Rhinolophus ferrumequinum: one gene and its partners. The protein of the gene in region 1 interacts with the protein of each later gene in a biochemical or structural test. Links are inferred from orthologs where the notes say so. Each region holds a gene or a part of one and is shown on either strand. Other genes may lie near its edges.

Evidence for each region. The genes of interacting proteins can lie anywhere in the genome.
Region 2: the proteins of BMP7 (region 1) and ACVR2A are reported together in a solved structure, tested with the Homo sapiens proteins (2 studies listed by BioGRID, with this or other methods). The link is inferred for Rhinolophus ferrumequinum from reciprocal best matches to the Homo sapiens genes BMP7 and ACVR2A.
Region 3: the proteins of BMP7 (region 1) and ACVR1 form a complex in vitro, tested with the Homo sapiens proteins (2 studies listed by BioGRID). The link is inferred for Rhinolophus ferrumequinum from reciprocal best matches to the Homo sapiens genes BMP7 and ACVR1.

Annotation. Positions count from the first base shown.
Region 1 is NC_046306.1:4,557,399-4,565,191, forward strand, and holds the start of BMP7 (bone morphogenetic protein 7), read left to right. Parts: upstream 1-5,303; 5' UTR 5,304-5,313; coding exon 5,314-5,731; intron 5,732-7,793. Other genes in the region: collagen alpha-1(I) chain-like, read left to right, coding at 1,844-1,895, 4,379-4,615, 4,768-5,303. UniProt on the Homo sapiens protein: Growth factor of the TGF-beta superfamily that plays important role in various biological processes, including embryogenesis, hematopoiesis, neurogenesis and skeletal morphogenesis.
Region 2 is NC_046291.1:71,832,130-71,839,887, reverse strand, and holds the start of ACVR2A (activin receptor type-2A), read left to right. Parts: upstream 1-4,756; 5' UTR 4,757-5,280; coding exon 5,281-5,335; intron 5,336-7,758. UniProt on the Homo sapiens protein: On ligand binding, forms a receptor complex consisting of two type II and two type I transmembrane serine/threonine kinases.
Region 3 is NC_046291.1:63,997,882-64,005,183, forward strand, and holds the start of ACVR1 (activin receptor type-1), read left to right. Parts: upstream 1-4,300; 5' UTR 4,301-4,814; intron 4,815-7,302. UniProt on the Homo sapiens protein: Bone morphogenetic protein (BMP) type I receptor that is involved in a wide variety of biological processes, including bone, heart, cartilage, nervous, and reproductive system development and regulation.

The sequences.
Region 1 (7,793 bases):
CTTAAGACTAATAGAAGCTGTTTAGTATTAAGTTGGTGCAAAAGCAATTGCGGTTTAAAAGGTTAAAAAAAAATCGCAAAAACTGCAACTACTTTCACACCAACATAATATCTTATTGCTCTGTTTAAAAAAATTGTCAAGGAAAGCCCCAGAGTGGCAAGCAGTGAGTCCGCAAGCAGTGAGTCTGTATCTCCAGGGCAATGAAAGTTTGCCTGGGAAGCTGCATTTCATCACAGGTGTGCTACAACGGTTTCCTCTCCAGAGTAGATCGCTTTGCACGCAAAGATTTTAAAGCCTGTGCACGAGGGGGCCCTTGCCTTCTAATCCCTGGAGGTCTGAGGCCCAGGTCATCAGGCTTCGGCCAGGTGGGTGGATGGAGAGAGCAGTCCTCAGGTTCCCTCAGCTGTGCTGGGTGCCCCTGGGGAGCCCCCAGGCCAGCTGAGCCTCCTCCCGGGCAGATGGTAGAAGAGTTCTGCCCATGAAGATGAGGTCCCCACCTCCCGCTGAACGTGTGTGTCAGCAGAATTCTTTTCTTCTTTTTATTGCCTTCGGGACACATGCTGACTTGGTCAAAATCGCTTCGGCAAGATGTGACTGATGATGTATGAAATGAAAACTCCTTGCCCAGTGCTGGGAGGCCAGCGAGCGAGCGAGGGGTGCGGACACTTGGCTGGGGCGGGCCAGACACAGTAACACCCCTCACGTTTCCAGCCCATCTTTCATCCAGGCGAGCTGGCCCCAGGTGTGGAGCAGACTGGGGCAGATCGGGTTACGGCCTGGGAGTCCAGCGCTGGGTGCCTGGGCTTTGGGAACCACAAGTGGGGGTGGCTGCTGGGGGAAATGGGATAGGCCCGGGAGAGTTCCTGGGCCCTGGATGGCAAGGGGTGGGGGAGGACAGAATGCAAGGATTTTCCTTCCACCTCCAATACTACTTGTCTGCTCTGCCCTCTTGTTCGCGGACTCCTGCACCGGATCTCTCAGAGTCAGGATAAATTTGCTTTTCTCTGCGTGGCTAAAAAGCAGACCATCATGAAACACTGTGTTGTTATTTTTAAACTTAGGAGGCTTTCCTGTTAACATATTTCCCTTTTCATCCAGATGGTGTGTAGCTGACTTTATCAAGTGCTTACTCTGTGCCCCAGGCACCTTGCAGAGTCCTTTACATGAATTGAATTAACTTCTGAATCCTCCCAGCAACCCTACAAGACAGCCACTATCAGTCCCCCAATGACACAGATGGAGGAACTGAGGCACAGAGAGGTTAAACGCTTGGTGTGCAATTGGAAGTGGCGGGGCTGGACTGAAACCAGGTGGGCGGGCTGCTGCCTCTCCCCCGACTTTCTCTAAACAACTGTGAAGCCTTTGCTGGTGGCCTCAGTTCTCACATCAGCGTCTGATGGAATCCCTGCCTGCGTGTTTGTATTCATTCATTCATTCATTCATTCATTCAGAAAGCTTTCTCTGAGGGCATGGTGACGTCTTGGGGGCTCCTTTGGGGAGAAAGCAGGGAAAATAAAGAGCCCACCCCTCCCCCAACATGGCTCACAGGAAAGAGAAGGCTAAATAGGGGGCTGTGGGAGTTCAGAGGGAACCTTATCTCTTCTACCATGTTTCCCCGAAAATAAGACTGGGTCTTATATTAATTTTTGCTCCCAAAGATGCATCAGGGCTTATGTTCAGGGGATGTCATCCTGAAAAATCATGCTAGGGCTTGTTTTCTGGTTAGGTCTTATTTTCAGGGAAACATGGTAGGTCTTGGATATGGAAAGCATGTTGTTTCGTCATCTTGCGTGAGGAAAGATGGCGTCCCCAAGGAAGGGCGGTGGGGGGAAGGTTCTAGGAGATGCCTCAGCCTGGCGCCTGCACCATCAGCCCTCAGTGCGCCATGCTCCCAGGTACTGGCTGTGCTTCCTAGTATTCATTCAGCAGGTACTTACTGAGCACCTGCTGTATGCCAGGTTCAGGTGGCCTCAAATGAGATGCACAGAGGGGTGGCTGGGGGGTGGTGGGGGGCACAGGGCAGATGATGAACAATCAGTTGTTTTTCATATGCAAATTGGTAGCACCCATACCTGCTGCCCCCACCCACCCCAGCCTCACTTGCTGGTTAAAAAATCTCCCTGCAAAGATTTGAGAGTGGATTAAAAAGCAGAGAAGGCTGCTGCAGAGGAATAGCATTTTAGGTTTTGCTAAGAAGCAACCACCTTCATCTCAGCTGGCATTGGAGATGGCAGGGCTGTCGCAGTGGCTTTGCCCTGGGAGGCAGGGGCAGCTCTGGGCAGCCTGGCGTCTGCTTCTGACTCTGCGGGCTGTGCCCTTGCTGGTCGCTTTGCCTGGGATGCCGTTCCCAGGGGAAGCCTTCTCTTTCTCACTCTCCCAGGATCCAGGCCAATGGCATCGCCTCCAGGAGGTCCTCTTCCCACCTCCCACCATGCCACCTTGTTTATTTCCCCGTCACTTATCACAGGCTGAAACCATCTGGGTTGCACACTCTCTAGTGGACGCTGGACGCCAGCCAGCACCCCTCCGCTGCCTCAGAGGGTCCCTGTGTCAGTTCCCCCCTCCACAGTGCCCATCCCTGTCTTTCCTCCTTGTGACCCTCCTGTGTGTCCCTCCATTGCACGGCCACATCCTTCCCTGAGAGAATCCGTGGACAGGCACTGCCTTTCCTCCCGCCCCCAAACCAGATCTGAGCTTCTTGCTTTGTCTCCTGTGGCCTGAAAGCCAGCCTCACGAGGGAGGCCACCCTGGGGGCCTGCTGCGTGCTGCACCCTCCAGCCCAGCACTGTGCTTGGCATTTTCAGGGTCCAGCACAAAATGAAAATGTGAGCCCTTTGTTCATAGATTACTAAGAGTTGTAATATGGCAACAGTAAAGCATTCACTACTGACGTGTGGGACCCTTCGGAGTGTGGGGGCATAGGTGCCTACATAGATTGCACACCCGTGAAGCCCACCCTGACACCGAGGAAGTGCTCAACAAACCTTTGTTGAAGGAAGGTTGTCAATGGATGAAAGGCAAGTGGAAGGGTGTTCAGAGTGCCTTGATTGACAGGTGAGCAGAGGCCCCGCCCTGGGCACTGGGGATTCAGGGCGGGTTCTATCTCGCAGCCTGGGGCCTATGCCACACGGCTTGCCTATGTGATGTGAGTGGCTGGGACCTGCAGCCTTGCATTTCTCTTCTCCTTGCCTGGACTCTGGCCTCTCCTGTCTCCACCCAAGTGGCCCCTCAGGCTGCCATCTTGTCCAAAAGCCCCCATAGGGCCACCTGGCAGAACCACCTCTGTTCCAGGAAAGCTAGCAGACCTGATTCCTCTGTACTAAGTAGCTCTTGGAATTTTCTCCCTGCTGCTAGATGAGGCTTAGCCAGATCCCCTCCCAAAGGAAACCCCGTCCCAAATTCATCCCTTGCCTTTCATCCCAAATGCCCTGGGCTGACGCTCCATCTAGCCCCTTCCAGGGGAAGCACAGGTTTGTGGGGCAGCCCCAAGAGGGGAAGGAGGCCTGGCTGAACTTTGACCCAATGGTCCTCACTGCCACGCTGGAGAAGTGTGATTTTGATCCCGTATTTACAGAAGAAGAAACCAAGGCTCTGAAGAGCAGTCCTCTTACTGTTCCATAACAGGTTCCACGTTGTGTGGGGGACCTGTGCCCATGCCCAGTGTGAACTTGGCTCAGCGGGTGGTTCCCTATTGTTCGTGGGGTGAACCAATGAGGGGAGGGAAGAAAGGAGGCCAGGAGAGGCTGTCTGTCCAGTGAGGTCCCCAGCACAGACCCCCGGCGGTGAACTGGATGCAAACTGGATGTCAGGCAGGGGCTGATGGGGAAGGTCAAACAGTGGTTGGGGCTGGGGGTCTGGTCTCAGGCGGAGGTGTGACTGGAAATAAACTGGGCCCCAAAGGGAGGAATGCTCCAGCTCACACAATGTCATTTATTTATTCAAAAAACAGTTGTGCAGCCCTTGTGGCTGCCAGGCCTGGGGTTCAAGGCACTTCCGGTACAGGGCAACTGAGAAAAGCACCGACCTGGTCCCCCAGAGTGTTGCATTTCTAGTGCGGGAGACAAGACGATAAAGAAAGCACGAATAATTCAAACAGTGATTCCAAAGGGTGAGAGGAGTTCAGGAAAATTAAACAAGAGTGTGTGTGGGGATGAGGCGGGGAAGGGACCTTAGCTACGCTATTCAAGGAAGGTCTCCGGGAGGAAGTGGCACCTGAGTGGCACCTGGAGGTGGAGAGTCGGCCAGCCCAGCACTGATGAAGGCCGTGGGGGAGGGATCAAGGGAGGGCAGAGAATCCTAGGCAGAGGGAATGGCAAGTGCAAAGACAACCTGGCGACAAGTTGGAGGGGCACAGCGGGGTCAGAGGCTGGAGTGACAGGGAGGGGGCAGAGCGACAGGAGGGGCTGGGGACACCTCCTTTGGGAAGCCTTCTCGGATGCTCGCGCCCCCTCGCATTCCCCCAGCTTCTTCCACCACGGCCCGAATCCCACGAATCCAGCTCAGGCCTCCTTCCCGGTCCGGATTGCGAATCCCGGGAGGGGGAAGGCCGGCTCGGATTCCTCCCTCGGCATCCCTGCGGCGCCCGGCCCGGCGCTGGGCACCCTGTGGGCACTCGGTAAATATTTGTAGAGCGCACTAGAAGGAATGAATGAACCCATTGGGCGCAGCTGGGGGGAGGGCGGGGCCGAGGGCAGGTGGGAGGCCGCGGGCGCGGGAGGGGCCCCTGGAAGGCCGTCCTCCTCCTCCCCTTCGTCCTCCTCCTCCCAGGCCCCAACGCGTACCACTCTGGGGCTCCCGAGGCGGCCTCTCGTGCGATCAAGGGCTCGCAGGGCCGGGAGAGCGACCCGGGGTCCCTGCTCTCCGCGATCGGAGTTCGGAAGAGGGTGGGTCGCCTCCGCCCGAGGGCCAGAGCGCGAGAGGAGCGGGAAGAAGGAGCGCTCGCCCGCCCGCCCGCCGTCTCGCCGCCTCCCCGGCGCTCGCTCTCCGGGCTCCTAGGTTTGCTGGCTGCTCCTCCCACCCGCGCCCGCCTCCTTGCTCGCTTGCTCGCTCGTTCGAGCCGGTTTCCAAGCCCTGCGGTGCGCCAGGGCGAGTGCGGGGCGAGGGGCCCCGGGGCCAGCGCAGAGCCGGGGGGCGGTGGTCCGGGCAGAGAGCAGCGGGCCGGGGAGGGGCCATGTCCGGCGCGGGCGCCGCGGGGCCCGTCTGCAGCAAGTGACCGAGCGGCGTGGACGGCTGCCTGCCCCCCTCCGCCACCTGGGCCGGCGCGGGCCCTGGGGCCGGGTGCCTGGAGCCCGGGTCGCGCGTAGAGCCGGCGCGATGCACGTGCGCTCGCTGCGCGCCGCGGCGCCCCCCAGCTTCGTGGCGCTCTGGGCGCCCCTGTTCCTGCTGCGCTCCGCCCTGGCCGACTTCAGCCTGGACAACGAGGTACACTCGAGCTTCATCCACCGGCGCCTCCGCAGCCAGGAGCGGCGGGAGATGCAGCGCGAGATCCTCTCCATCCTGGGCTTGCCCCATCGCCCGCGCCCCCACCTCCAGGGCAAGCACAACTCGGCGCCCATGTTCATGCTGGACCTGTACAACGCCATGGCGGTGGAGGAGGGCGGCGGGCCCGACGGCCAGGGCTTCTCCTACCCCTACAAGGCGGTCTTCAGCACCCAGGGCCCCCCTCTGGCCAGCCTGCAAGATAGCCACTTCCTCACCGACGCCGATATGGTCATGAGCTTCGTCAACCTCGGTGAGTGAGGACAGGCGGAAGGGGGTGAACGTCTGGGTCAGGAGGCGCTTTGGAATAGGGAGGCGGGGGCCGCTTCTTAGGTCCAGCCCGCCCATCTTTCCACGCCGGCCCTTTGCAAAACCATAGTGCCTGGCCAAGAGTCTCCTACCCCCGGTCCGAGTGGACCCCAAGCTGTGCGCGCCCTACTGTAGGGAAAGCCAGGCTAATTTGGCCTTGTGGCGTTTTGGGGAGCGAAGGACCGGTCCGAAGGCCCCTTCGGGTTAACTTGGCGGCCGCACCTCTGGAGAAGGAGGCGCCCAGCGGCCGCGGCTCAGTTGAAAGCGCGGGGCTCGGTCATGTGAGCTGTGCCGGGCCGGCGCGGCCCGCGCTACCTGGATTTAAAGGGCCCTGCTCTGCGATGCTGCCTTCCCGCCCTTTCTGGGCCCCTCTCAGCCCTGCCGAGCCCTGGCATCCCGGGCGTCGCGCCCCCTTCCCGGCCTTAGTAAGCCCTACCTGTCCGCTCGCGGTGCGCCTGCCCTAGCGTGCTGCGCGCCCTGAGCGCCTCGGGTCCCCTCTCCTGGCCGCCCCCCTCGCTCTCAACTCTCCTGGCTGGAGCTGGGGAAGAAACGTTGCCATTGCGAGCTTTCTATTTTAAATATTTAATGATAGGTCCCGGGCGGGCAGAATCCATTTTCAGCGTTTATCACATGTGGCGCGCAAACCACGGCTTTTGGCGATTGGGTGGCGCGGGATCTCGGAGGAGACGCCGCCGGGGGCGGCTGGGGGACCCGGCTCGGAAGTGGAGCCGCGACGGCCCGGGGGACGCGAGGCTGGGGCTGCGGCGGGGGTGCGGTGGCTCTCCCTCCATCTGTGCACGCACACTCACCAGACTTGCTCAAACTAACCCCCGGCAGCGCGCTGTAGGGCTGATGATCAAATATTTGGTTTCCGAGATAACACGCCCCGATAGCGCTGTTTCCTGAGCCGCTTTCATTCTACATGTGTAACTTGCTGCGAAAATCCGAACAGAGTCAAGACAGCAAACTTACGCCCACGGGCGCTGTGTCAACATGGAAATAATGATACTCAAGCCCCCCCCCCCCCCCGCCGAGCACAGGGGGCGTGGATGGAGGGCTCGGGGAAGCCGGGATCACCCTTAATGCTTCCCGCTCCAGATAAGGTCCCTGGAGGTCCTGGGACGCCATTGTCTTCCCTTAATAATAGCCAAAAATCAAACAGTGAAACAAGTTTCAGCGAGCAAGGGGTGGGAGGTTTAGATGCCAAAATAACTTCAAGAAAGTTTAAATTATACTAAGCAGCCTGTTAGAACGAAGCAGCTCCATATGTCCCGGTTTAGAACAATCTCCAAGATGTATGAGGTGGAAAAAAGCAAGGTGCAGATGAGTGAGGTTACATATGTGCTTGTAGATCATCCCTTCCCACTGGAAGAAACACCAGGAACTGGAAATAGATTTCACTGGGGGGTGGGGCGGGCCTGGCCGCTGGGGCTTAGGCAGTGGGAGCTGGGGTCTGAGCTTTTCTTGCCTGCACTTTTGTCTGTGGCTTTCTGTTTTGTTTTGTTTTGTTTTTACAATGTGTATTTATGACCTATACCAGAAACTAAAGAAAAAAATCCCAATACATACATATACATAAGTAAGTTAAAGCAGAGCTCTGTAGCTGTCCTGAAGCCTGGGTTAATCAGGGCCCTTTCTCTGGCCAGAATTTATGGTATCCTGTTCTGTTGGGTACCCATGACTACCTGTGAACACAGCAGGTCCCAGTGGCTGCCTTCAGAGCCTGGCTGGGCTCATTAAAAAAATATTTGGAAGCCCTGGCTTCTGTGGAAGGCTCTGCAAATCCCATGCAAAAAGCACCATACTTAGCTCATGGACCAATAGCAGGGGCAGACCTACGGCTCTCCCTGCCCCCCCACCAGAGAAGGACTAAGTTACCAAGTGGGTACCCCTGGGAATCTTAGGGCAGGGTTGTTTGCTCCCCCTTGGTGGTGGGAGCAAGCTGAGACTTGTTTGGGAAGGCCGCAGCTGGGTGGTTTTCCTCCTCTGGCTGTACACACACCTTT
Region 2 (7,758 bases), on another chromosome or scaffold:
TACAGGAGTCAGTACCACTTCTATCACCCTTTGTAAAACACTGTCATGGATGACATATCTTTCTCTTGGTTTTTTATCTCATCTCTCTCCGTGCTACTGTTTCATCCCCGTTCCTCACTGTTAATCCTCTGCTTGCTAAATTTCTTTTCGCGTTTACTCTCCATTTAGAGGCTCTCATTCATTTCCATGAACTTTAATACCATTTATTTGTGTGCTGACAATTCCCAAATTTCTATGTGTAGAAATTGCATGCTCCTCTACACTTCAGTCACCTGCATCCAACTAATTACTTTATATCTCCATTTGGATGTCTCATTGGCAACTCAAATTTAACATTTTCAAGATTGAAAAATTTCACTATTCGTGTCTGCATTCCCTTCCCTATAATGTCTCTCTCCCCCTCAATCTACCCCATCTCAACAAATGACACCATGTCCACTCATTTGCTCAAGAAAAAAAAGTAGGAGTCATCCAATTCATCAGTAAGTCCTGTTGATTCTACTTACAAAATAGATCTTGAATCTGTCCACTTCTTTCCACACTAGTTCACAGTACCAATAATCTCTTGCCTGACTTACTGCAACACCCTAACTAGTCTCTCTAATTTCTTTGGTAATTTCTTGCAACCTGTTCTCCAGATAAAAGCCAGAGTAATCTTCTAAAGCATAAATGAGACCACACAACTCTTTTACTTAAAATTCTCCAATGGCTTAATGCTTTACTTTGAATAAAATCTAAGGACCTTACTTTGGCCTACAAGATCTTGCATAGTGTGGGCCTGTACTGCTCTCTTTATTTATATCACTCTCCTCGTTGCCATGAGAGCCTCCTTTCAATTTCTTGAACATATCATAGGCTTTGTACATACTATTCCTTCTTAACTAGCTCCTTTCACGGCTGTCTCATTTTGTAGGTTTCGGTTTAAGTGCCACTTCCTTTGTAAGTTCTTCCTGAACTTACATTGTCTCTAAATAGGTCCCCTCTTTCTATCTAACCCATCATTCTTATTCTTTATCTCAGCATCCTGTCTGATTTTATAAATAATCCTTCCCACTTGAAAATTACTTTTTACTTGCTGTTTTTGTCTTCCTCTTGATACTGTAAGCTCAGTGAGGGCAGAGACTATATTCATTGCACTTCGCTATACAATCGCTAGCACAAATCCTATAGCTAATAGTTACTTGTCGAATAAGTGGATACCACAGATAAAGATGGACAATGTAGTAAAAATGACTAATTCTTATGCAGTCTTGCATTATAGAATTTTAGAACTATAGCATCAAAGCTTTATTCAACATTTTAATCATTTGTTAAAATGGATGGAGGGCACTATTTTTGAGAGTCTTGCGTATATTGCCTGTCCTCTGCTCCAGTGCCTTTCAAATTATCTGTGGTGAATTTCCAATCTACGAGACTTTTGTAAAATACAATAAAATTGAATTACAAAAAATAAAAACAAAAATACCAGCCCAATTTTTCTTATTACTAGCTTCAGCAGACACAAAATTATTCTGTCAAGTTTCTACAAAATTTTTTAAAGCATTTATCAATGTCTGCACTAATCTCACTGAAGATTATATTACTAGCTTAGTGTAGCCTTTTCATCAGTGTTGGATACATTATTTCCACTGTAACTAGTTTCTCTTCAACTATTCTCACTTTTCTGTCCTAGACTATGCTGCCTTAATGTTTTGTCCCTCACTTATTCTCACATCCATATTCTCAGTATTTCTTTTTTACCTCATTGGTACAGCACAATGCTATGGATAGACCTAAGTAGAAAGAGAGGTATAACAGCAAAAGCTAGGATATAGGAATTTTTCTTCCCACCTTGTGGGAAGATGAAGAAAGATTCAGTTTGTGTTGCTTATATGTAGCTGTTGTTACGTCCGAAAGCAGGTGAATACCTTAAGATGAATTTCCTTCCACTATATGCCATACTACCCAATATCAAAAGCAAGTTCAATTCCAGCTTCTCTTTAGAATTCAAGGTTTAAGCTTAGTCCATACTTTTTTGAGCCTGATATATCAGTTTCTAGGGTAAAAAGAAACCATCCTTCATTCTGGAAGCAGTCTGTGACCCTAATTTACCTGTCCCCTCATCCAGCCATCACACACTTGAATCTCTAGGTTGAACAGGCTTCTCAAGGTTCTTCTAGCTGGGAATAATTTGAAGTTCAATTGAACTTTTTGGGGGGGACTTTGAACTTGAAATTCTATCATTGGACTGGCTACAAAGCCAGGTCTCAGGTTTGGGGATTGAGTTGTTAGCTAAAGTTGTTTAACACATAATGTCTAATGCTATGGGAGACCAGAATTCCTTTCGTGTTTCCTTTTCCTCACCTTTCTTCCTAATCCAGTTTGTACAGCTTGCACTGTGTTAGAGAGGTATTGGATTTGTAGGACAAAAAAACAGTGATTCTAGAAAATAGGAAGGAAAGAGGGGCAATAGGGTCAGCAGCAGTTTACCTCTGTCTCCTTTTTAAGCTTTGGAATTCCAGTGGGAATTAGTCACGTACTCTTATGTCTTAATAGGTTAAATTATTTTAAAAAATGCAGAAGGTGGGGTAAACACAGATTTAGGAACAAAGTAGATAACTACCGGTAATGGAATCTAACTTTTCCCATGGTGCTATATTAACTCTTTATTAGAGAAGAATATTCTAGTGAAGACTTTGACTTATTGCTCCTCTTTCATACTACAGAAAAATAATTTTCATCTTTTCTTACATTCTTATAGTGGGGAATTTGGGTGGTAAGATAAAGGATGTATTTTCAAGTTTTAGTTCTATTACTGGTTATTCCAGTTATTCCACTTGCTCTGGTTTCACAATTCAAAAAATATTGAAGTGATGCAGAGATAAGACAATAGTGGGGCCTGATCCAGGGTATAACCGACATCAAATTCCTGAACTGAAGGTGGTTCTAAATGAAACACACTCTCCATTCCAGAAACGTTAGCAGCAAGTCTTAATTCAACAAGCTAATGGAAGGTTTGTATTTATTCCTCTGAACAGCTCATAAAGTCCAGAGAACTACATAATATGAGATCATTTAGATACCTTGAAGATCAACTTGGGACTTTTCTTAACTGTTGCACAACATGAATCAAATTCTGAGCACCATGACTTGAAAACTTTAAACTCTTGGAGAGTTTAAAGTGCCACAATGATTGCTAATAACCCTGTTGTAGAAATGGGCAGACAATTACAGGATGAACTTAACAGAAATACAGAGTAATTCAGAAGAAGAGAAAAATAAAACACTGTAAATACAAGGGAAAAGGCTTGGCTTTGTGGGAAAAATGTGGGAATTCATAAGCTACAAGCAAACGATGAATTAGCCATACAGTACAATTGCTTTATTATTTTTATTAATAAAACATTCGGAGAGTACATGTGAGAATATAGGATTAAGAAAACGGCTCTTACCCGCCAGTCATTTATGCAATTATTTATTAAGCACCCATCATAGGCTAGACACTCTAAGTGTTGAGATAAAACGGGGAAGAAGCCAGATAAGATCCCTCCCTACCTTCACCCAGGTCGCTAAAGTGTGGTAAATGACAAAGCTAGTATCTTTAATACTGACTTTAGTTTGTATTCGGCAGACACTTCGAGCACAGCAAACACTGTGAGCTTCTTCAGGGTAGGGATCCTATTTTTACATTTCGGATCGAACTCCATGCCTAGCACAGCACCTTGTAAGCAATCAACTTCGACTAAGTGTGAAAATAGGCCCTAAAAACCTAAAATTTGAAAACGTAAACACTTGTCTGACCATCAAACACGTCGATCAAAATCTGCAGGTTTCCTCTTCAGCGAGCAATAGATATTTGCGAACCTATTACGTGCAGAACAGCTCTCAACACAATGCTTTGTGTACTAAAAGGGATGGTGGGAATGGATTCAAATTGCACATCGTGATAATTGCCGTGGATATCCCGACCGGGTGGACAGCCCATCCTCCGCGAGGTTTTTTTTTTTTTTCTTTTTCAGCCGAGAGACAAAACGCTTAAGCCACCGGGGTGGGATGCATCGCTAAGACTGGGCGGCACAGACACCCACCCGTTCGCGCGCACCGAGCTCGCTCCGGCAGCTCGGCAGGCACGGCGGACCGGCTCCCACCCGCGGCTTCCCGGCGCCCGGAGTCTCGGAGCGGACGAGGCGTCCCCCCAGAGGAAAGACAGGGCGCCGCAGACGCCCCCCTGGAGGAGTCACCACCACCCGCCCCGCCTCGAGGTCCTTGTCTTCTTGGGCTCCCTCGGACCATTCGGGCGTGCGCTCCGAGAGGCCGGTGGGGCGCGAGTTCGCTACTTGGCGCTCCGGAACCCCACCGTAGCCACTCGTCCACCCACTGGAACCGCACAGCCCAGCAGGCCGAGCAGGCCGGACGCCGAGGCCTCGCGGTATCGAGCCTCCGTCCGCCCCGCCTCCTCGCCCTCCAGCCGGCCCCGCCCTCGCTCTCACCCCTCCCCCGCTCTCACCCCTCCCCCGCTCCCGCCTCACTTCCCCGACAATCTCCTCGCGCTCCCGGCCCGGCACGCGCGCCGCGCCTCTCAGCCGCTACCGCCGCCGCCGCCGCCGCGGAGCGTTCCTTCACGGTGCCTGGCTTCCAGCTTCGGGCCGGAACCGGAAGTTTAGGGGGCGGGGCCGGCGGAGGCCAAGGGACCGAAAACGCGGCCGAGCCCGGAGCCCGGAGCCGGAGCCAGAGCCTGGACCAGAACTTGGCCGCCGCCTGCACCGCCGCCGCTGCCGCCGCCCGCCGCTCCTTCCCCGCTCCGCTGCCGCCGCGGCCGCCACCGCCGCGAGCTCAGCCGCCAGTGGTCCGCGGACTTTGGGTGTCCGGGTTGAAGGTCGGTCCGGACGTCGGACCCAGCTCGGTTCCCGGACTGTCCGGGCGGCAGCGGACGCCGCCGCCGCCGCCGCCTCGTCGCCTAAGCCTGGCGTTTTGTTCCGAGAGACCCGAGAGGCGAGCCGAGCTGACAGTGATTTTGACAGTGATTTAAACCCGCTTTTGTTGTTGTTGGCTTTTCGTTGTTTGGTTTTGTGTGTTGTGCGTGTGTGTGGCGGTTTTTTTCCCCCGTGGTGCATTTTTTTTTATTGTTGTGCTTTTTTTTTTTTTCTTTTTTAACCCCGTGAACGTTTTTCTTTTTGGTCGGGGCTTCCGAATATGTTTTATGACGGTTGATTTTACACCAGGAGGTTTGTCTCCGAGGAAGACCTAGAGAACTGGATATCTAGCGAGAACTTCCTACGGCTTCCCCGGCGCCTCGGGAAAATGGGAGCTGCTGCAAAGTTGGCGTTTGCCGTCTTTCTTATCTCTTGTTCTTCAGGTAGGTGCATGGAGCGTGTCGCGGCGGGGCTGCAGCCGCTGCTGCCGCTGCTGGCGGCCGCGGTTGTTGTTGGGTCGGCGAGCTCCAGTGGAGGCTGGGGAGTTTTTCCCCCCACCCCGAGCCCCTAGGTTGCCACCCCCAAGGTCTGATTGCGATCTAGAAACCTCCATGAATTTTCCTCGGTTTGCGTTAGGTTAGTAACTGATAAGAGTGACTGTTGTTGTGGAAGTGAGAAAGTCATGGTTTTGTGGCCATAACACTGGATGACAGCGCTGGTTGGGTTGCAATTCAGCCGCAAATACCACAAGTGACAATTTATGCAAAGGTTTGAGACCCGAAAGGTGTATTCCAACATGTCATTTAGTGTGGCATCCTCCAAAATAAGGGTTTCTTAAATCGTCTTTTAATTAGTGCTTCACCAGTGACTATCAGGGCAGAGATCAAGTCAGTTGTTACTTAATTTTAACCGTGAGAAACAATGCATCATATCGGCGGTTTCATCTGGGTCTTCCCTCACGTTTTCTTCAACTTCAGTGTCCAGCAGTGTTAAAAATAGTTGTAGTTGTTGTTGAAGTATTAACTATAACCCAGTGCAGAAGAGGTATGCCGCTGCGTGTTGGTAATATGCTGGCTTCCAACCACCATTTATGTGCTCTTTTCTGGCAGAGATTTTGCTTACCTACGGAATACTTATTTTAAACGCGTTGTATTGAAGCATTGTTTTCCATTTGGAACAGCCCATTTGAAATTGTTCATACTGTCAGATGCACTGAAGTCATAAAATAGGTTTTGCCCCAAGGTTGGGAGAATAATCTGGCCTTTTGGTATTTGAAATTTTGATTTTGTGAGAACGTTCAATGGTTGCAACCAGTGGTTGGAAAACTGTCGAGTCTTTTGTATTTGAAATTCTACAAAAGAATACAGCATGTAGCTGAAAGGTGTGCAAAATGTACATAACAGAAGAGTTAGGTTGGTAGATGAAATAATGTTAAAGTCGCAGTGGATCTATTTAACATAAAATTCAATATTCAGTAACTAGGTTGTGAGAGAGAATTATGGGGGGTGGGAGGAGGAATTGACAGGTTTCATGGCCATATCTTTATCTCATTTGCCACAGGGAAATTAGAGGGTGGTAGTCTTTTCTTTGTGTACCTCTGTGGGGTGTGTGTGTGTGTGTGTGTCCGTATTGGTCTGTCCTCCCCACCCCCCTTTTTAATAGAATCTTTTGTAATGTATAGAATTTTGCTGAATGGTACATTTCCTTGTGGTTAATAAATGGATAAAGTCTAGTCTCATGTCTGTAGTGGTATTGATCAGTTCCGGGTGGGCTGAATGTGTTGTGAAATGGCGATCATTGCCAGAGATTAACCAAAAGAATCATGTCTGTTTAAATGGAAGAAGGAACATGCTTAAAGCAGGCTGACAGTTCTTTTTGTGCTCCGTTAGGGGAGGAAGATAAACAGTGGTGTCTCTGAAATGAATGAATACCTTGATAATATTAAATCTCTTGCTTTTGAAACATGGTTTAACCATGAGGTTTGTATTTTTCCTGTACTACTCTTTCTCCTCTGCCCCTATATGTTCTGGTTGGTGAACTTCTCTTGTTCAAATGCCTCTTTCTGATCTCCTGCCCTTGAGTAGGAGGGGCATCATGGCCACTGACCAAGGAGTTGTGGACATTATTCTCTCTCAGGCTCACCTGAGTAACACTAATTGGTGCAGGAGGTTATTCTTGAGCAGTCTGGAGGTATTCTGGAAAAGCAGGCTGTCGCTACAGACCTTACAGCTCCCTTTGCTTGGTTTGGGAGTAAAAATAATTGAGCATTATTTTTTTATAGGATTATTTTTACTGAACCAGGAGGTTAATTTTGAAATAATTCGTTCATATAGAACATATAGATGCTCTCCCTACATTAGACTAGTATTAAATATTGTTACATAGTTTTTTAAATAAACATTCCTAGTTGAACTAAAATATAATTTTATTGAAAATAATTGAAATAATCGTAAAGACTTTAATCCATATTTATACACGAAGATTTTTAGTACTTAAAATGTCTGATTTTTTTTAAAGGTCTTTTGTTATAAGTCAAATGCTGTCTATAAAAGGATTATTATGTTTCTTTCCTAATTGATTTTTCTATGTAATTTGTAACCTGGCATGTTTAGGAGCATGAGGATGGCTATTTTTATGAGAATTGAAAAAAATTCAAGGTTTCAGTTTTTTGTTTCTGGGTATTTTATTTTATTTATTTTTTTTATCAAATGGAGAATAGTAGTAAAGAGCAATTTTATTTCAGGTATAGGATGGATATTTACTGTTTTCTTTAGTACTTGTGGACTTTGATTTTTCACTTTCTGAGGACTGATTATGCAGACTATTCTTGTAGGGTATGGCCAAATGTATAATTTCCTACTCTTGT
Region 3 (7,302 bases), on another chromosome or scaffold:
TTATCTGACTATATTTGCTTTAATTTGTCATTTAAAACAATGTTAACTCTTTATTCCTTCTGGAAATATTTTCAGAAATGGTATGAGAGGAAGCACTAACAGGATTTTCCCCAAGTGCTTCAACATCGTTTGAATGAATAATCTTTCCTTTCTGTAATGGTTTTGTGATGTCTCTTTTATCACATGGTTGGCCCATAGCCACACACTGGTTTGCATGTAACCTGCTGTGCCAGGAGGTGACTGTATTAACTTTCCCAAGTGGGAAATAACTGTAGGGCTGTTTGAGGACTCCCCGTGTAGCTCCAACAGTTCCTTGAATATGGTAGACAGCCAATAAAGTCTTGTATGAAATGAACAATTAATGAGTCTTTCATACACCTGGGAAAGTTTAACTGGAAGATTAATAAGTGTCTGTCCTGACTGGTTAAATGTTTACCTTTTGGGGAAAAGGGAGCCAGGCCTGATAGGATTTGTAGTGACCCTTTCAGGTTGATTTTTCTCTTCCATCCCCTAGTATTCTGATCCATTCACTTAGATCTTTGGAACACAGTACTGGTTTTTTTTTTTTTTTATGGGCTTCAGGATTAGGACTAAATTTCAGATGTCAAGGACATTGAATTCATCATTCTCCAAGAATAGTTATGATGCAGCTGGGTCAGTATTTCTCATGCTTGAATAATGTATAGACAGCTTTAAAAGGAAAAACAGAATCTTCATGGACCTTTATTGATACTTTAAATTATTTTTATTGCAATTATTATTTGAATAAGCTGCATGTTCTTACAGGTACATAGCCAAAAAGGATAGCGAAATCGTTTGCATGGTAGACATTCAGATGATCTAGTATCATAGTATCATGAATATGTATCATAGTTAATTTATTAATTTGTTTAAAAAATACTGTAACTGAAGCCAAAGCACAAATTTCATGGATTTCATAAAGAACTTGGAGATCCCCTAAGAGTATGTGTCCTAGTTCCAGTCTAACAAAATAGAAATAGGAGAATCACTTTACCATAAGCCACATCCAACCCTCAAACTTTGCCCTTTTTCTACGCTGTTTCTAGTCTTCAACGTTCAACTTCAATGTGAAAAATCACTAAACTAGATGTAAACCAATCTCTATATGCTTGAAACCATTAGAAAACTATAGAAAAATTGAATATGAACAAAACTATAAACCTAGTGTTTCAAATAACTTTATTTAACGAGACAGATATTGTTTTGCTGAACACCAATGTCTGCTCACGTCAGAAACCTTGGTACTGTTGCCTGATAGGAGCAGGGTTTATTTTTGGTTCTATGTGCCCATACTAAATGAACAGACTTATTAACATTTGCTCATTACTTTAACCATTATTCTTTATTTTTCTTCAAGAAATCTTTAGAAATTGAACTGTAGCACATTAATCTGTCAGGAGTCTCATCAATACCACCAGCTCTCAAACACCCCAATATTCTTCTAAAGAATTTGCTGCTGGAAGTTAGTATGTATAACTAAGCTGATTTTCGCTTTATAGGTTTTTAATAAACCATGTTCCCTTATAACACTATAAAAGCTCTCTCTAGAACCAAAATAATGGCTTCAAGATAAAAGAAGTCACTCACTTTAGTTACGTACTTCAATTATTTTAAATGAAATCAGTTCTAAAAATTACAATTTATATTCTGTATCACATCTGAGTGCAGAGAGGCTGTGGTTATTGTTTAAGTCGAAGAGCTTAACTGTAATGAGAAAGCTTGCTGCAAAATTTTATGAAATAAATTCCCCAAATTTTATAGGAAAATACTGTACAGGACTCTCAGGTTGCTCAAGACCCTGTTTCCTAATAGTTTTTGAAAGCTGTTGACTTTTAGAAATGAACATGTTGATCTGGGCATAAAGGAGGACGATATGCAGAAATCAGGAGATGCCAATTCACAATGCAGCAGGCAGTTAATTAACTAGAGTCGTGCTCCTTGAAACATACGATGGAGGAGAGCTGAGAATCTTAGAATAACAGAAGATGTATTTCGTCCAAGTTACTTTACTGGTCTGTTTTCCACCAGAGTTAAATCAATGGATTAGATGTGGGGTAAGGCAGTGGCTCTCAACAGGGGGCGATTCTGCCCCCTAGGAAACATTTGGCAATGTCTAGAGACATTTTTAGTGGTCACAGCTGTAGAAGGAAGGCGTCCCACTTGCATCTACTGGATAGAGGTCAAGGATGATACAAAGATATTTACAACGTACCAGAAAGCACCCCAACACAATTATCCTACCATATAAAGATGTCAATAGTACACAGGTTGAGAAACCCTGGATTAAGGTGTCTAAGCCAAAGAACTGCATTTGGGGTGTATCCTTGGGTGGACAGGGCTTGTGCGGAGGGCTGTATCCTTGTGTATCATCCTGCTCTACACACACACGCGCGCACACACACACACACACACACACAGAAAATCAACCGATCAATGTTACAAGTCTACAAGAACTACCCAGAATCCTCCCAGATAATCTCCTGAAATACAAATTAGTCACAGGAAAAATCAGAAGGTTTTTTTGCATTGAACCAGTCACACAAGAAGGAACCACTACTGAAGGAACAGTTAAAAGGACAACAGGATTCATTAGTTCATTTATTCACTTATTCAGCAAACCTTTATTGAGTACCCACATGTGCTACTCTGCTAGGTGTGATACATTGTGAACACAGCCAAACCTGGTCCCTGCCCTCATGGGGCTTACAGACTAGAAGAGAAGGTTACCAACAAAGGGCCAGTAAAATGAGGACTCCGTAAATGTACAGGACTTAGGAACATTTACACAGCAGCTTGAAAAGCGTCCACATGTGTCTAATCTCATTTGAACTGCACAACAAACTTCATGAGACAGGCTCTATTCCCTTCTTCCAGAGGTTAAAAATGGGCTCAAGGTCACACAGTTTCTAAGTGGCCACGGCTGACACTTCAACCAAATCACACTGATATCCCTGTTATATTCTTCTAAAGAGCAAGACTACATATAGGCACTCTTGCTTTATCTGACCTGGAATTTCCTCTCCAGATCTCCATCAATTATATAGGAACAAAGCCCTTCCCCTTTAAAAAAATAATAAAGCACCCAGCCTTCTCCATCTTCTTGCTTCTGTAATACCTGGGGATTATTTTCTAGCTGTTTCATCTATGTATGTTTTGTGTTCCTCATTAGATTGTAAATTCCTGACCTGCAGGGCCCAGATCTTCCATTTCCTTTGCAATCTTTTGCAGTACTGCAGTCACCCAATAAATGCCTGCTGCATAAATGAACCTGTAGAGATAAAAATACTTTATGGTATTCCCATTTATGGCTTTCATGCTTGTATTTTGCTTTGTGATAGGACTGTGCATAAGCTTCTAGAGGGCAGAGAAAATGGTTTAGTGCTTTCCTTACACTCAGCAGGCACCATGCAAAATTTGATCCTTGCATGCCTTTTTGATGCTCTGGATAATATTAGCACACTGGAGTGTTTTCGTGTATCTAAGGACCGAGGTTGTCAGCCTCTCTGTGGCGGGGAATGTTTCTTCCTTTCCACTGTAAGCTCCCATGGCGCCTAGGACCGGGCTAGACTACTGCAGAAGCCTCCTCCCCTCACCAACCCGCATATTTTTATTACTAAGGAGGCCGACTGAGAAATGGCAAGCTCCAGCATAATCCGACCTTGCGAGGAAATAAGTGGAAGGGGATTTGAAGGCAGGTCAGAAATGGCCTGGATGTGAATGCCGAGGCTTCTCTCTGAGAATCCAGCCTAAGTCTAACAAGCAGGAGTCCAGCCGCGCGCCTCCCGCAGTCCCGGGGCCGGGAGGCAGCCAGAACCTCCCGCCCGCTCACCCCGGGAGCTGTCCAGACGGCCCCGCCCGCGCCTACCTGGGCACTCACCCGCGCCGCGACGCCTCTCCTCCTCCCACCCCGGTCGCGGGAGCCCGGCTGGGGCCTGCCCCGCCGCCTCCGAGGAGACCCGCGGGCGGCGCGCTCGCCGCCTCCTCCGGCCCCGCCAAACAGCGCGGGGGCGCGCCGGGGGCGACGAGGTCAGGCTCGGCGGGACTCCGCGAGCTCGCCACCGGCCGGGCGCCTGCAGGGGGCGCGGGGACCGCCCCGCCCCGCTGCCTTCCCCTTCCCTCCCGGCTCCCTGGATCTGCGCCGGGAGGAAATGATGTGTTGCTGCCTGGTTAATCACAGCTCCAGACACTCATTGGCCGATCGCTCCGCAGCCACTTCCTTCTCCTCCTCCTCCCGCTCCTCCCGCTCCGGCTCCTGCTTTTTGCAGCCGCCGCCGCCGCAGCAACCTCCCCCTCCGCGCTGGGGGAACTTTTCTACTCTCTGTGGTCGTCTCCCCCAACGCCCCCAGGGCAAGCCCCCACCCGCCGGCCCGCCCCGCCCGCGGCCGTCCTCCCTGCCCGTGCCGCGGCGCTTCGGGAAGTTTATTCCGCCCGCCCTCCTCCCCTTCCTTCTCCTCCTCCGCCTCTTCACCCCGCCTCCCCTCCCTCCCTCGGCTCTTTCCCCGGGGTGGCTGCCGCTGCTGCTGCCGCCGCTGCCGGGCTGCTCCTCGGCCAGCCGTGCCGGCCCGCGGACTGGAAAGCGCCTGGCCCCGCGCACCGCTCCGCTCCGCTGCAGCCTCCTCTCGGGGCCGGCCGCCGGCCCTTGGCCCCGCAGAGTTCCGGGCTCCCCCGCCGGCTGCAGCGCCCCGCCCCGCGCCCGCCGGGGCCGCCCGCCCGGTGCCGCGCCGACCTGCAGCGCCCGGCTGGCTCGCACTCCGCCTCCCCCGGCTCAGCCCCCGACCGCGGCGGGACCAGAGGTGAGGGCAGGTCGCCGGCCGAGCCTGCCGGAGCCGGGTGGATCGAGGGAGGAGGGAGCCTAACGGGAGAAGAGGCTGGGATTGGGGGTGGGAGGGTGGGCGTCTGCGGTGCCTCCCCTTCGCTTTCATTCCTTTCTCCCCCAAGCTCGATCCCCTCTCGGTGGGGGAAGCAGCCGCGGAACAAAACTGTCTTGCGTTGGGCCTGAACTGCTGGTGGGCTATGGGAGAGGGCAGAGGCATGGAGTGTTGGCGGGGGGGGGGGGGGGTCTCTGGTTTGGTGTGTGTGTGTGTGTGTGTGTGTGTGTGTGTGTGTGTTGAACTCCTTCAGTCTGTGCGCCTCTGACTTGTAAATCGATCTGGCCGCCCGACCACGGGTCTCACCTTCCTAGCTGAGCTTGGTAGGGAGTAAAGAGATGGGCGAAACACCCCCACCCTCAAAATATCCGTCGCTTCCAAAAGGAATTTTCTGCTGGAGAGACAGCCAATAAACTCTGCTCAACTCCCTCCCTCCCTCTCCGTTCTTCCTAGCTGCAGTTTCAAAAAGCTTCAAAGCCAGGAATGTGGGATTCATCTTCCGATCCCCAGAAGGCAAATGTGGTTACAGATGTTGCACGGTACTTTGCCAAGTTTAAAACCCTTCCTTCAACACTGTAACAAAAACAGTGAGGCTAGAACCCTGGGTGCGCTGGGGAGAGATGTGGGTCTCTGGGGCTGCCCTATTCACCACCTTCTGTTGGGTTCTAGACGGGCTCAGCTCTGTCCACTTTGTGCACTATATGTCTCCCCCCTCCCTTTTCCCTGGAGTTTTGAATACTTCTTGCATAGGAGAGAAGCTATAGAGGAAGCTACTTAGGGAAGATAACATTCCACTTAGTAGCAGAAGAAAAGCCTTGGGTTAAAAAGTTGTGCTTAATTTAGCTTTTGGAGAGAGGTAGCAAAGTAATACAATGGATTGATTATTTTTTTCGGGCTTTTTTTTTTTTTTTTTGAGGTGTGTGTGATGGGAGTTAGATGATGAGAAAAATGATTGACCTCATACATATTTTGTATATTTTTGAAAAGAGACCTCCAATTGAGACATAGACACAACCCAGTGGTTTTAAAGAACCCTGTCCCTGTTCACTGCTCTGACAGCCCAGGGAAGGCGGTGGCAAAAAATAGACACCACCTCCCTTTTCTCCCAGAAAAATTCTTCCTGGAAAGATGGTGTTAAGAAATTTCAGAGATGGGCTGATCTAAGTGGCGGGCCTTAAATGGAAGCACTATAGTATGTCCTGGCACTTGTCTCTGGAGGTGGGTGGCTGGCCAGGGGCCCGGGCTTGGGCAGCCAGCGGACACTAGACTTGTGCTGACCTCAGACACTGGGTTTGCCGTCCAGCTTTACAGTATGCTTAAGTATGAAATACGGGCCTCACACATTTCACTGATGGGGACATTGGGGTCAGGAAGTTACTTTAGGTCTAGACAGGACTTGGATCACCCAGCTTTTAAGATCAAATCACTTTTTTTTTTTTTAAACTCAGTCCTCTCTTACATTAACTCTTTTTTTTAAAGCTATGTCTGTCTGTTTTTTTTTTTTTTTTTTTTTATTGGGGAATATTGGGGAGCAGCGTGTTTCTCCAGGATCCATCAGCTCCAAACAGGGTCCATCAGCTTCAAGTCTTGTCCTTCACTCTAGTTGTGGAGGGTGCAGCTCAGCTCAGTCGCTGTTTTCAATCTTTAGTTGCAGGGTCACAGCCCATCATCCCATGCTGGAATTGAACTGGCAACCTTGTTGAGAGCTCATGCTCTAAACGAACTGAGCCATCCCTGACGCCCCCAAGACCAAATCACTTTTTTGTGATTCATTTGTTTCTGTTTTCTGTCCTGGAATTAAAAAAAGGAAGTCTTTTAAAGCTGAAATATGTAGGCCTTAAACTGATGGAATTGTGTGTTGGATAACAGCATTTGTACTGTCACCCCTCATGCAAATACTCAAAGGTGATGAATGATGTTGCAGTAAACTTTGGAGACAGGGCAAAAATCAAGGGCTGGGATGGGTATAGACCGGGTTCCTGCTTTCCTTTTCCAGCACTATGGGTGAGTTTTACTTGAAATGTAGAGAGTGTTTTTAAATAAAACTTGATTTAGGTAGTAGTTTTACAACTTTTGTACTTTGTTAGAGAGTGATCATTTGAATCCAAAGAAGCTTCTTGTTATCTCTAAGTAATAATTTTAAGAGAATAGTAAGGAAGTGGAGTAAAGATGGAGGAGTATGCTACATTTAGGATTGTAATTATAGGCATAAGTTGGAGGTATTGCAAATTCAGTTCCAGACCACCGAGATAAAGTGAGATAAAGCGGGTATTGCAACAAAGTGAGTCATAGTAATATTTTTGCTGAAGGGTCTTGCCTTCAATTTGTAAAAAACGAAACACCTGTGAAACACAATAAAGTGACACACAATCCAACCAGGTATGCCTGTAATTTCAGAAGTGAGGAGCTTAAT